Schizosaccharomyces pombe: one gene and its partners. The protein of the gene in region 1 purifies or fractionates together with the protein of each later gene. This does not show direct contact. Each region holds a gene or a part of one and is shown in the gene's direction. Other genes may lie near its edges.

Evidence for each region.
Region 2: the proteins of rmp1 (region 1) and rpp40 purify together in Schizosaccharomyces pombe (affinity purification with mass spectrometry, with the first as the bait; one study listed by BioGRID). This does not show direct contact.
Region 3: the proteins of rmp1 (region 1) and pop8 purify together in Schizosaccharomyces pombe (affinity purification with mass spectrometry, with the first as the bait; one study listed by BioGRID). This does not show direct contact.

The regions. Positions count from the first base shown.
Region 1 is NC_003424.3:3,918,886-3,922,251, forward strand, and holds rmp1 (ribonuclease MRP complex subunit), read left to right. Parts: upstream 1-2,121; 5' UTR 2,122-2,190; coding exon 2,191-2,826; downstream 2,827-3,366. Other genes in the region: SPOM_SPAC323.07C (MatE family transporter), read right to left, coding at 1-255, 318-979.
Region 2 is NC_003424.3:2,337,870-2,341,966, forward strand, and holds rpp40 (Rnase P subunit), read left to right. Parts: upstream 1-1,927; 5' UTR 1,928-2,014; coding exon 2,015-2,107; intron 2,108-2,111; exon of another isoform or gene 2,112-2,151; coding exon 2,152-2,299; exon of another isoform or gene 2,300-2,349; coding exon 2,350-2,406; exon of another isoform or gene 2,407-2,458; intron 2,459-2,469; exon of another isoform or gene 2,470-2,522; coding exon 2,523-3,081; intron 3,082-3,121; coding exon 3,122-3,272; 3' UTR 3,273-3,435; downstream 3,436-4,097. Other genes in the region: nas6 (gankyrin), read left to right, coding at 306-410, 549-1,148.
Region 3 is NC_003423.3:1,110,912-1,113,677, forward strand, and holds pop8 (RNase P and RNase MRP subunit Pop8), read left to right. Parts: upstream 1-1,785; 5' UTR 1,786-1,823; coding exon 1,824-1,876; intron 1,877-1,917; coding exon 1,918-2,076; intron 2,077-2,133; coding exon 2,134-2,248; downstream 2,249-2,766. Other genes in the region: erg27 (3-keto sterol reductase), read left to right, coding at 1-19, 67-505, 554-1,090; mRNA processing protein Cft1, read left to right, coding at 2,428-2,766.

The DNA.
Region 1 (3,366 bases):
GAGAAACCAGGCCACGGGATAGGGGTGGAGGAGAAACAAATATACAATATTAAACAAATGCTTTGAAACCAAAAAGTAGTAGCAACGGCGACTGGAGCACCGAGAAAGCCAAATCCAATTGTGGGATGCCATACAAGAAGGTAATTTAAAAGAATATTGAGAGGAGCAGCAAAGCATAATACATAAGTGATAGGGGTAAATATGCCTTGAGCTTGCAAGTAACGCTTCAATGCCTCAAAAACGGCATATCCAGGTCTAAAAGAATACAGTTAGTGAAAGGAGGAGAGAGAACGGACAAATTTTAATAAAGTACTTACGCAGCCAAGATAAACACTCTCATATAACGACCACACAAATGAGCAACCATAGGATCTTGGTGAAGAAAGATTAGAATATGTTCAAGATTAAGCCAAATCAAAGCTACAGGTATGTGTAAAACAGCCAAAATAAGCAGACATCTTTGTAGGTAGATGGCTACATTGTAGGGTTTATTAGCGCCAAAGGCTTGAGTGGCTAAGGTATCTAAGGAGGAGATAACACCTTGGAAAATGGAGAAAGCACTGATTGCAGCAGTCATGGTGGAAAGGGACGAAGCTGCCAAGTATTCCTTTCCCAAGTGTCCCAATGTAAAGACTGTAGAAAATTGTTCCGAGGATTGTAACAAATAAGCGATGACGGTGGGAGATCCAAGACGCAAAAGTTCTGACAACTCGTGCTTTATAACAGGGTATCCCGATGCGTTATCTGCGAAGCTCTCGCCAGGTGTATGAACATGATGCTGCTGTAACTGCTGAGCTACAGGAATCATAGAACCGTAGACGGCTGGAATATTAGGCTCCACATACTCATTGCTATCCTGGAAGTACCCATTCTCTTCTGCTAGTAATCTTTGTTCCTCTTCAGAATAATCACTGTCGGGAGAAGGAACTCTTCCAGAGGTCGGGGATTTGGAGAAGAGTTTGGAGAAAAAACGCTTCATAATTTGAGAATTAACCTTGTCTTCACTATTAATTTTTTAAAAGCAAAATATTTCAAATTCTCTATATTCGCCTTTCTAATATCTTTTCTTTTTTGTGTTATACTTAGGATGAAGCTTCCAATAATTACAATTAACAAAGTCTTTAACTATATAAGGGGAAGAGAAGTCAAGTTTGATAGTGTGTACAAGACAATGGTAAACGGTAAGCCGTGGAACGGTGCGAGGTTTTTAATCAGCTCAATCGTCCCCCCTAGTACCGACTTGATATGCAAGAGATAATCGGTACCGTACATAGATTAAATACAAGGGAGAACCAATCAAAAATCAAAAGCTCTCAACTGAGCCAATGATATATCATTAAGATAAAATTAATTTTTAAATCGCACTAAGCGGACAAATAGCGTTTAGACTTTTTATCAGTTTCGCTATTGAAAATTTAGTACCGACAATCAGCAAATTTTACAAATTTCTTTTCATGGCAAACTGCTGGCTTAATTGACAAAAAGGAGGATATTTGACAGGAAAATTAACGCAGTTTATGTCTTGAACTGCGGAATCGATACGCCGTGAAAAAGAAGCCAGAAACAGCCGACGGTAGTGGTGCTTTTTGAAGGATTCTTAAAGTGAAAATTATCTGCTACACGAGTATATTATGGCGGTATCGAATGGCAGGTACCAAATGCTACAAAATCTTAAAACAGGCATATTAAAAAATGGGAAACAAAAAAGGACACAATAAATCATGTAGGATTCTAAAGGATGCATCGACCAGTAGCGGATTTTATTGCTAAGTATTAGAACTCTTTGTATTTCTTTTCATTGATTTGTACCTTTTGTTTTTGTTTTTGTCTATGAGCTCTCCATATGTTTCTACTTCGTTCCGCGGAATGCCCGGATCGACTGTTACTTCTTCCACTCCCGTAAACCAGGTGTCGTTTATTATCTTGATTTACTCGCTAATATATTTTCGTTAAGATTACTTATCGAGAGAAATTGAAAATGATAAAAATCGTTAAAGTCAAATACGAACAGTTCATTTTTAACGTCCAAATTTTGATTTAACGAGAACTTGAGCAACACTTTATTTCTTTTCATCCATCAATGTATTTAATGGATACTGTTCATACATACATACTTTCTTCGTTCGTGTTCGTGTTCACATTGCTCACTCGTTGGGTGGTTTGTACGACCTATTTGTCTAGTCCAACGATATGCAGGAATTGCAATACGATGTAGTTTTATTGCAAAAAATCGTGTATAGGAATAGAAATCAGCATCGACTAAGTGTTTGGTGGAGACACGTACGAATGCTGCTTCGAAGACTAAAGCAGTCGCTAGATGGAAATGAAAAAGCGAAAATTGCTATTTTAGAACAATTGCCGAAATCGTACTTTTATTTTACAAACTTAATTGCCCATGGTCAGTATCCAGCCTTAGGGTTAGTTTTGCTGGGTATCTTAGCTCGCGTTTGGTTTGTTATGGGCGGAATAGAGTACGAAGCAAAAATACAATCGGAAATAGTCTTTAGTCAAAAGGAGCAAAAAAAATTGGAATTACAGTCTCAAGATGACATAGACACTGGGACTGTTGTAGCTCGCGATGAATTGCTAGCTACGGAACCTATTTCATTGTCTATAAATCCTGCTTCTACTAGTTATGAGAAACTGACTGTATCCTCTCCTAATTCTTTTCTCAAGAATCAAGATGAATCTCTCTTCTTGTCTTCTTCTCCTATAACTGTTTCTCAAGGTACCAAACGTAAATCCAAAAACTCAAATTCCACAGTCAAGAAAAAAAAGAAACGTGCAAGAAAGGGACGAGACGAAATTGATGATATATTCGGATAAATAAACCTCAATTAGTCTTTCCATTTTCAATTGATTTTTTCTTTTCTTTACTTTTGCTTTTTGTTTCATCTATTTCTGACACCAGTCTCGCAAAATCTCTCTATTTTTATTAAGAACATTACGCTATGATACGAAAACGCTGTCATTCATCATAACACCATTTGGGTCTTTGAGTCTCTACTGCATTTCATCCAGCATCAAGGCATCCTGTTGTATAGAATCAAACATATTTTTTTTCTTTGTTTGTACATATCTTTTATTTATCTGTGCATTTGAAGTGCTCGCGGGCTTTAATTTATTCTTTTCGTTACTTGTCAAGTTTGAATATGCAGCGATTCTAAGCCATCCCCATAACGTATTTATTCTTTTCAACCTATTCTGAGCTTCTAATTCTATTAAACCTTCAATTTATTAATATTGGGTTTTCTGTTCTACTGAAACACTTTTCAACACTATCACTGCATATATTCTGGTTATTTGTTTTTTATGCGCACATCGTGAACAAATTAAATATTCATTTTATTTTTCAACGGTTTTCTT
Region 2 (4,097 bases), 1.6 Mb from region 1:
GAGACCAACAGTACTTACAAATTCTATCAAGCGGACCAAGATAAATAGTATAGCAAGATAATATGTATTAAAATAACAATTATTAAGGAATTGAAATATAAACAATCCGTACAGTAACAATAATTAGTTTTTGTAATGATACATTGATGTTGGCAATCTGCAGACAAAGGATGCTATGTTAAAAATGGATATAATGAAGTATTTCGTAATTCTCTGTGTCATTAAATGGCGACAGTCTTTCCACTGAAGTAACACAGAACAAGCATATAAAACTACAACAAAATCATATCTAGTCGTTACATAAAATGGTTTATGCAAGTTTAGGTAAAGCAATCGAAGAAAACTGTCCAGAAGAATATGTGGAGCAGGCAATTCAAAATGATCCGAATTCTCTTAATGCGGTAGATGATGTATGTGAAACTAATAATTAATATTGTTATTCTATTGTGAATTCGAAAAAGAAAATGAATATGCATTGACAAGAATAACAAGTGTAACTAAGCTACTAAATGACTCATGTTGTTTTTACTAATCACAAATATTGTTAGGACAAACGTACACCTCTCCATTGGGCCTGCTCTGTTGGTAAAGTTAATACCATTTATTTCTTGTTAAAGCAACCCAATATCAAGCCGGACGAAAAAGATGAGGCAGGATGGACGCCTTTAATGATCTCTATAAATAATCGCTCAGTACCTGATAATGTAATAGAAGAACTAATAAACCGTTCCGACGTTGATCCAACCATAACGACTCGCGGTGGTCAAACATGTTTGCATTATGCCGCTGGAAAAGGTCGTCTTTCTATTGTTCAATTATTATGTGATAAGGCCCCAGAACTTATTAGGAAAAAGGATCTTCAAGGCCAAACACCATTGCATAGAGCCGCAGCTGTTGGAAAGATTCAAGTAGTCAAATACTTAATTTCTCAACGCGCACCCTTGAATACTTCGGATTCATATGGCTTCACACCATTGCATTTCGCATTAGCAGAAGGACATCCAGATGTTGGTGTCGAATTGGTGCGTGCTGGAGCTGATACTTTACGTAAGGATTCTGAAAACCATACTGCTTTGGAGGTTTGCCCTGATCGTATTGTTTGCAATGAATTTTTAGAAGCTTGCAAAGAGCAAAACCTTGAAATTTAGTTCCATATATTACGAGAAATTAATGTTCAAATAAGGTGAGGTTTTAAAACTCATAAGCGACTGCTTTAAATTATACAATTCTCTTAATTTCGTATTAATGACCTTAAAAAAAATGCATGGCGTTTGACGAAAATATAGAAAAGGTGGTTTTGTAGCTTCAATTATTGAAATGAAAATTACAACAAAAGAACCATTGTTAACTTATGTTCTCTTCGTTGTCTGAGTGATGTTTTATACTCAATAATTAAAATTATTACTTAAATAATTAACCTGGTATTTTTTTTACATGGATATATTTATTGTTTTCATTCTCTTTTTCGAAATATTATTTTTAAAATAAAAAAAATAAATAAAAAGGAATAGATAGATAAGCATTTTTAAAAGGAAAATGGTTTGTAAAAAAATATGTTTTTTATTAAATAATCTCGCTACAAGCCAATCTGAAGATGTCGGTATTATTTTCATCGATTTGAACTAATTTATGAATTACCGTCTGCATAACTTTTTCAATGATACTGAGTGAAATACAAAGAACGAATGAAAACATTTAATTATTTTCTTCAGTTCATTACTTCAATATACTTATAAGAGTCATAAATTATATACGAATAAATTTATTTACACTTGAAAAAATTGAAAATTGCCTAAATATAATTGACGATCTATATTGAATTTGATATTGTGCTTGTTGATCTGATATTTTCTAATACAGCTAAGATGAAGTAACAATGAGCTGATGGGTGTATCATCAAAGTCTCCCTGCTAATTCATGAACACTTGTCAGAAGCGCTGTGTCTTTTTTTATATGGAAAGAATAGTTTTGCGTTTCTTTCTGAAAAGTTTATGAATAAAAAGATACGATTAAAATGAACTGTGCTTTTACTAAAGAATTAAAGGACGAGATATATCAAAAAAATTATACTGAGCACGAAATTTTACAGAATGCATATAATGGAAAGGTATGTAGATCCGCTTATATCTTAATCCTAATAATAAAACTTAGTTAGATATTTTGTTGCCAGTAGAAGACGCCTCTGAAGAAGCAATTAGATCAATAACGAAAATAGTGCAAGATCTTAGTTTTTATGAATTCTCTGGCTCACCCGCTCTGCTGTTACATCCCGATTTATATTCAACGTTTATTCATACTGGTAAGAAACTTTCTAGGAACACTTTTTTGTAGCTAATTTTTTCAATATAGGAATTGCAACCATTGTTTCTTCATCCGATAATGATAATAAAATATGTATAAGTCAAGGTGAGTTATTTTACGGTACTGTTCGCTTTTCATATCTCTATAGGATATTATTACCCAGCCAAACAATTTCGGGTATCTTTAAGATTTTGAAATTTTTATTGCTTACAGTTAATAAGGTATTCTATCTGTCACTCTTGACAAAGATAGCTATTTGGTTAGTGGTATTGATGCAAAACCTTCTAGTTCTGAACCTAAGGACACTCTATGGGTAGCAAATATTGACTTAAAGTCTGCATTCTTAAGGCCTCAGTGGAAAGGCTTTGAAAGATTAAAAGCTGCTTTGGGTCGTCTTCCTGGAAAGTGGAGTTTTTATCTTACTTTTCCAACTGAGAAGGTTGATCAGTCTTACCAAAACAACTTGTCTCACTCGCTTCCTGTTCCCATGATTTCGCGAGAAATCAACCTAAAAAAAGGAAAACTAGACCAAGCAAAAATCCCACCGCCACTTGTATCAACTCTTAATAGAAATGAACTCTTTCCATCAAACGGTCCATTAGAGGTTTTGGAAATTCTTTCTTTTTTACGTTGTAATGCAAAATGTGTGCAAAATTCATTTGTTCCTGATCCTTACATTTCACGTTACAAACCATCTTGTGCTGTTACTGACGTTCTTTATCTTTCCATCAAAGGGTTGTTTTCTTCTTCTACTTGTTTAGAACTTTACGAGTTAATAAGGTAATAACTACTTATACGTTTTTAGATGCTAACAGTAAAGGAATATTTCTTGGAATTTTATAGGGGTTGAAAGCTTCAACTCTTTCCGTGACGTTGACAACTCAAGTCAATTACACTCTGGTGATAGTTCTTTGCTGAGTTTCTATGATTCCCGTACTGAGCGAATTCGTTGGACATGGAGATTGAGTTGAATTGTTTTGTCATCTAATGTGTTTTCTGCCAATAAAAATATAGACGTTTTGGAAACACGACCAGTTTAAAAAATATGAATTTATGTTATCTTATTCTATATTCCCAAGTAATTATATTTACATACATATTCCAAAAAATAAAGTCTAGTGTACACATCCTGAATATAATTCAGAAAAATAAGGAAAAAAACCGTATTGTAAGTACTAGTAAACGGGTTCCAGCATTCCTTCTATTATTATTTTAGGTAAAACAGTCAGATATCTTACGTTTCCATCAGTCGAATCAACTTCATCGCCTTGCCATCTCAATTTTTTAAGCAAAAAGTTAGATTCAAAAGCTTTAACGTCAGAAGAAGAAGTCCCCAAAGTTATATGAAGTTGAGGGTTGCAAGTTTTACCATACCAGACGCTGTTTTCATTCATAGTGACTCGAAAACAAATAACTCTATCATCCCATACAAGATGAGTTATCCTAAACGAAATATTCCCCATTTTAGTAGTATTTTTATCGTGCATATGCTGTAAGTATTGTTCCCAAATCCGACTATTTACCGGCTTCTGTGACTCGTGGATCATAGTAATATGAAAGGAATCTTGTAAGGTGTATCTGGAAAAAGCCTCCTGCCATTGCAAATTAGCTATCGTTAAGACTTGAACGAGAGAAGACTCCACTGTCTTCCTGTCAAGCAATACGCCAAAGTATCTTGGCGCTTTTTTAAAACAAGTAGATGAGCCGGTAATCCCTTCGGCTGTGATTTTATTCTTTATCTTTTTTGAGTCATTACCAAAAGTTTTTCTATAAGTCGGGACGTACTCATTAACGGC
Region 3 (2,766 bases), on another chromosome or scaffold:
TAATTACCGGCTCCAACAGGTAAAATATTATTAAGATATCTAGAGCAACACAGTTAATGATTACAGTGGTCTTGGTTTTGGAATAGCTACGCGTCTTTTGCAGTTCTACCAACCGCGTTTGCAAGATGAACCCGAAGTATTCACGGTAATTCTTACATGCAGGAGTCGTGAAAAGGCAGAAGATGCCTGTAGAAGATTGAAAGAATTCTTTCCCGATAGGAAAATACGGTTGGAATACGTTTTGTTAGACTTGTCGAATATGGCATCAGTGGAAGCTGCGGTGCAAGATATCGCTACTAGATTCCCTAAATTAGATTTTGTTTACCTAAATGCTGGTGCTTGGGACCTGGAAGGTATTCAATGGCTAAAGGCTATCTTTTCTACTTTGATCAACCCTATCCAGGCACTGACGCATCCAACCTTTTACAAAGAGACTGCTGGACGTGTGAGCAATGACTCCCTCGGTTACATATTTGAAAGTAATGTTTTTGGTCATTTTTATTTGGTAAGTTTTTTCACCTTAATTCCGTATGTTAGTACTAATTTACATAAGAAAAATCGCCTGGCCGAACTAAAAGTGCTCCGTTCGTCAACAAAGGTAGTCCTTACAAGCAGTTTAGTAGCAGAAAAAAAATCCCTTGATTTTGAAGACCTACAATGTTTTCACGGCGAGCAACCCTATCAATCTTCAAAGCGTTTGTTAGATGTGTTACACTATGCAGAACTTGAAAAGGGACTCCCTTTTGAACAATACCTTGTCCATCCCGGACTATGTACTACTAACATGTATGAAACTTTCCTCGGTCCTATATTGGTTATGTGTGCAAAGCTCGGTTTCTATATTTGTCGCTTACTTGGAAGTCCTTGGCATACAATTTCTCCATACGTTGCTGCTTTTGCTTTTCTTTGGACTGCTTTACATGCTACCAAAGAAGATCAATCTATCAAGTGGGGAGCAGCCGTGACTCGTTTTGGTCATGAAAGAGTCCTCTCTACTCCTGTGGAATTAATTTTGCCTTCAGAGCAAGAGAAAGCTTTAGAATATATGACAAAACTTTACCAGGAATGGAAAAAGAAGCTGGTTTCGTAAAGGGAAACATTTACATATTCTCTTGCGCGGAGGCCTTGATAAAAATCTGGAGTACCAGTTAATTTTAAAGTGCACGAGACGAGGGGAGTTATGAAAGAACAATCCCTGATTCATTGCATTCTCAGTAAAACATTTTGAAAATTGCTTTTATCAAATTTTGCTACAATCGGTATAGATATCTTGACAAAATGAATAGATAAGGGGATTTTAACCAAGTCTGGAATATAGTTTATGTCTCAATTTAGTTAATACAAACATACGAATTTATTAGAACCTCGGACTCGGAAAAGTTTATATGAAGAATTCCGCGAGTTGCCGTCTTTGTCTCATGCTAGCTATAAGACCGCATTTCGTAAATTGTGTATCTGGATATATTTTATCAACCAGCAAAATTAAATTATGAAAAATAGCAATAATTCAAGTTATTAAATTTTTCTAATATTACACTTCGAATTGAAGGCTTCCTCATTTTGTTCAGCTGTTTGCTTTCTACAGGCATGAAAACAGGAAACATAATTAAACAGTACCTCAATTATTCGAAGATTAGCCTTCACATAACAGTTTATGTGATGGTACGATAATTTTAGTATGATAATTACGAGCTTGTAGATTCCACAGGAACTGCAGCAAATGCATCCTTAAACGTGTTGGTATCGTACTTACTCAGAAGTTTACTTCTCTATACAACTTTCACCAGACACGATCTGCCTTCCTTTTGAGTTAAAAAGAGGCCATGGTACTTCATCAACGTTTAAAAAGCGAATGGTCATATATAATACTTGAAGTGTAAGGAAGTCTGGGATAATTTGTTTCACTGACATACTTAGGGTTGGAGGTACTACCCCTATAGATGAAATAGACGATATTTCTTTACGACATCTCATCACATTAGCTCTAAATCAGTCATTTGGAATATTTGGGTCTGCAATTCCTATTGATTTTTTGCATCGACAATCAAAATTTTTGTATCTAAGGTGCCATAAAGAGTATGTCAACTACTGTAATTGTAATGTGCTATTTTACTTACTGAACAATAATAATAGGGATAAAAAGAAAGTCCTTGTGGCACTCGGATCCTATGTTCGCGAACCTGAACAAATAAGACTTATGGTATTACACGCTTCAGACTTTCCTTGTCAAGCGGTTCCTTTTTCATAAGTAAAAAGGATTGTATTATTATTATGTAAATTACTAGTTATTTAAAATGAATTGCTTTTAAAACCTACTTGTAGATTTTGTACACTGTATTTGGACGCGTCCAACTCCTTACTCTACCTCATCCTTTCCAGAAGCTCAACGTCCCAGTTGAAAGGCACATTTAATGTGGTATTTGCTTTATGTCAACCATATTTCAAGACCTAGTGGACTCTACAGTTATAAAAAATGCTGTCCAAGGCCAATTTACTTCTCTTGTATCTAATAACCTAGTGGTAAGTAAAGTGAATTCTTTACACCTTTTTGAGATTGAAAAGATTCAAAAAGATGAATCCAGTTTCCCATTAGATGATTCCTTGCAGAATGAATTCTCCACCAGCATAATCGATGAAAGTCAGGCGTTCATGGAGACAAATATGCATCTCATACGTACCAATGAACAAACTACCTACGTTCTTAGACTCGTTTCTCAAGTTAAAGTCTTCGGGACTATAACGGAAATATCGGCTTTGAAGGGAAAG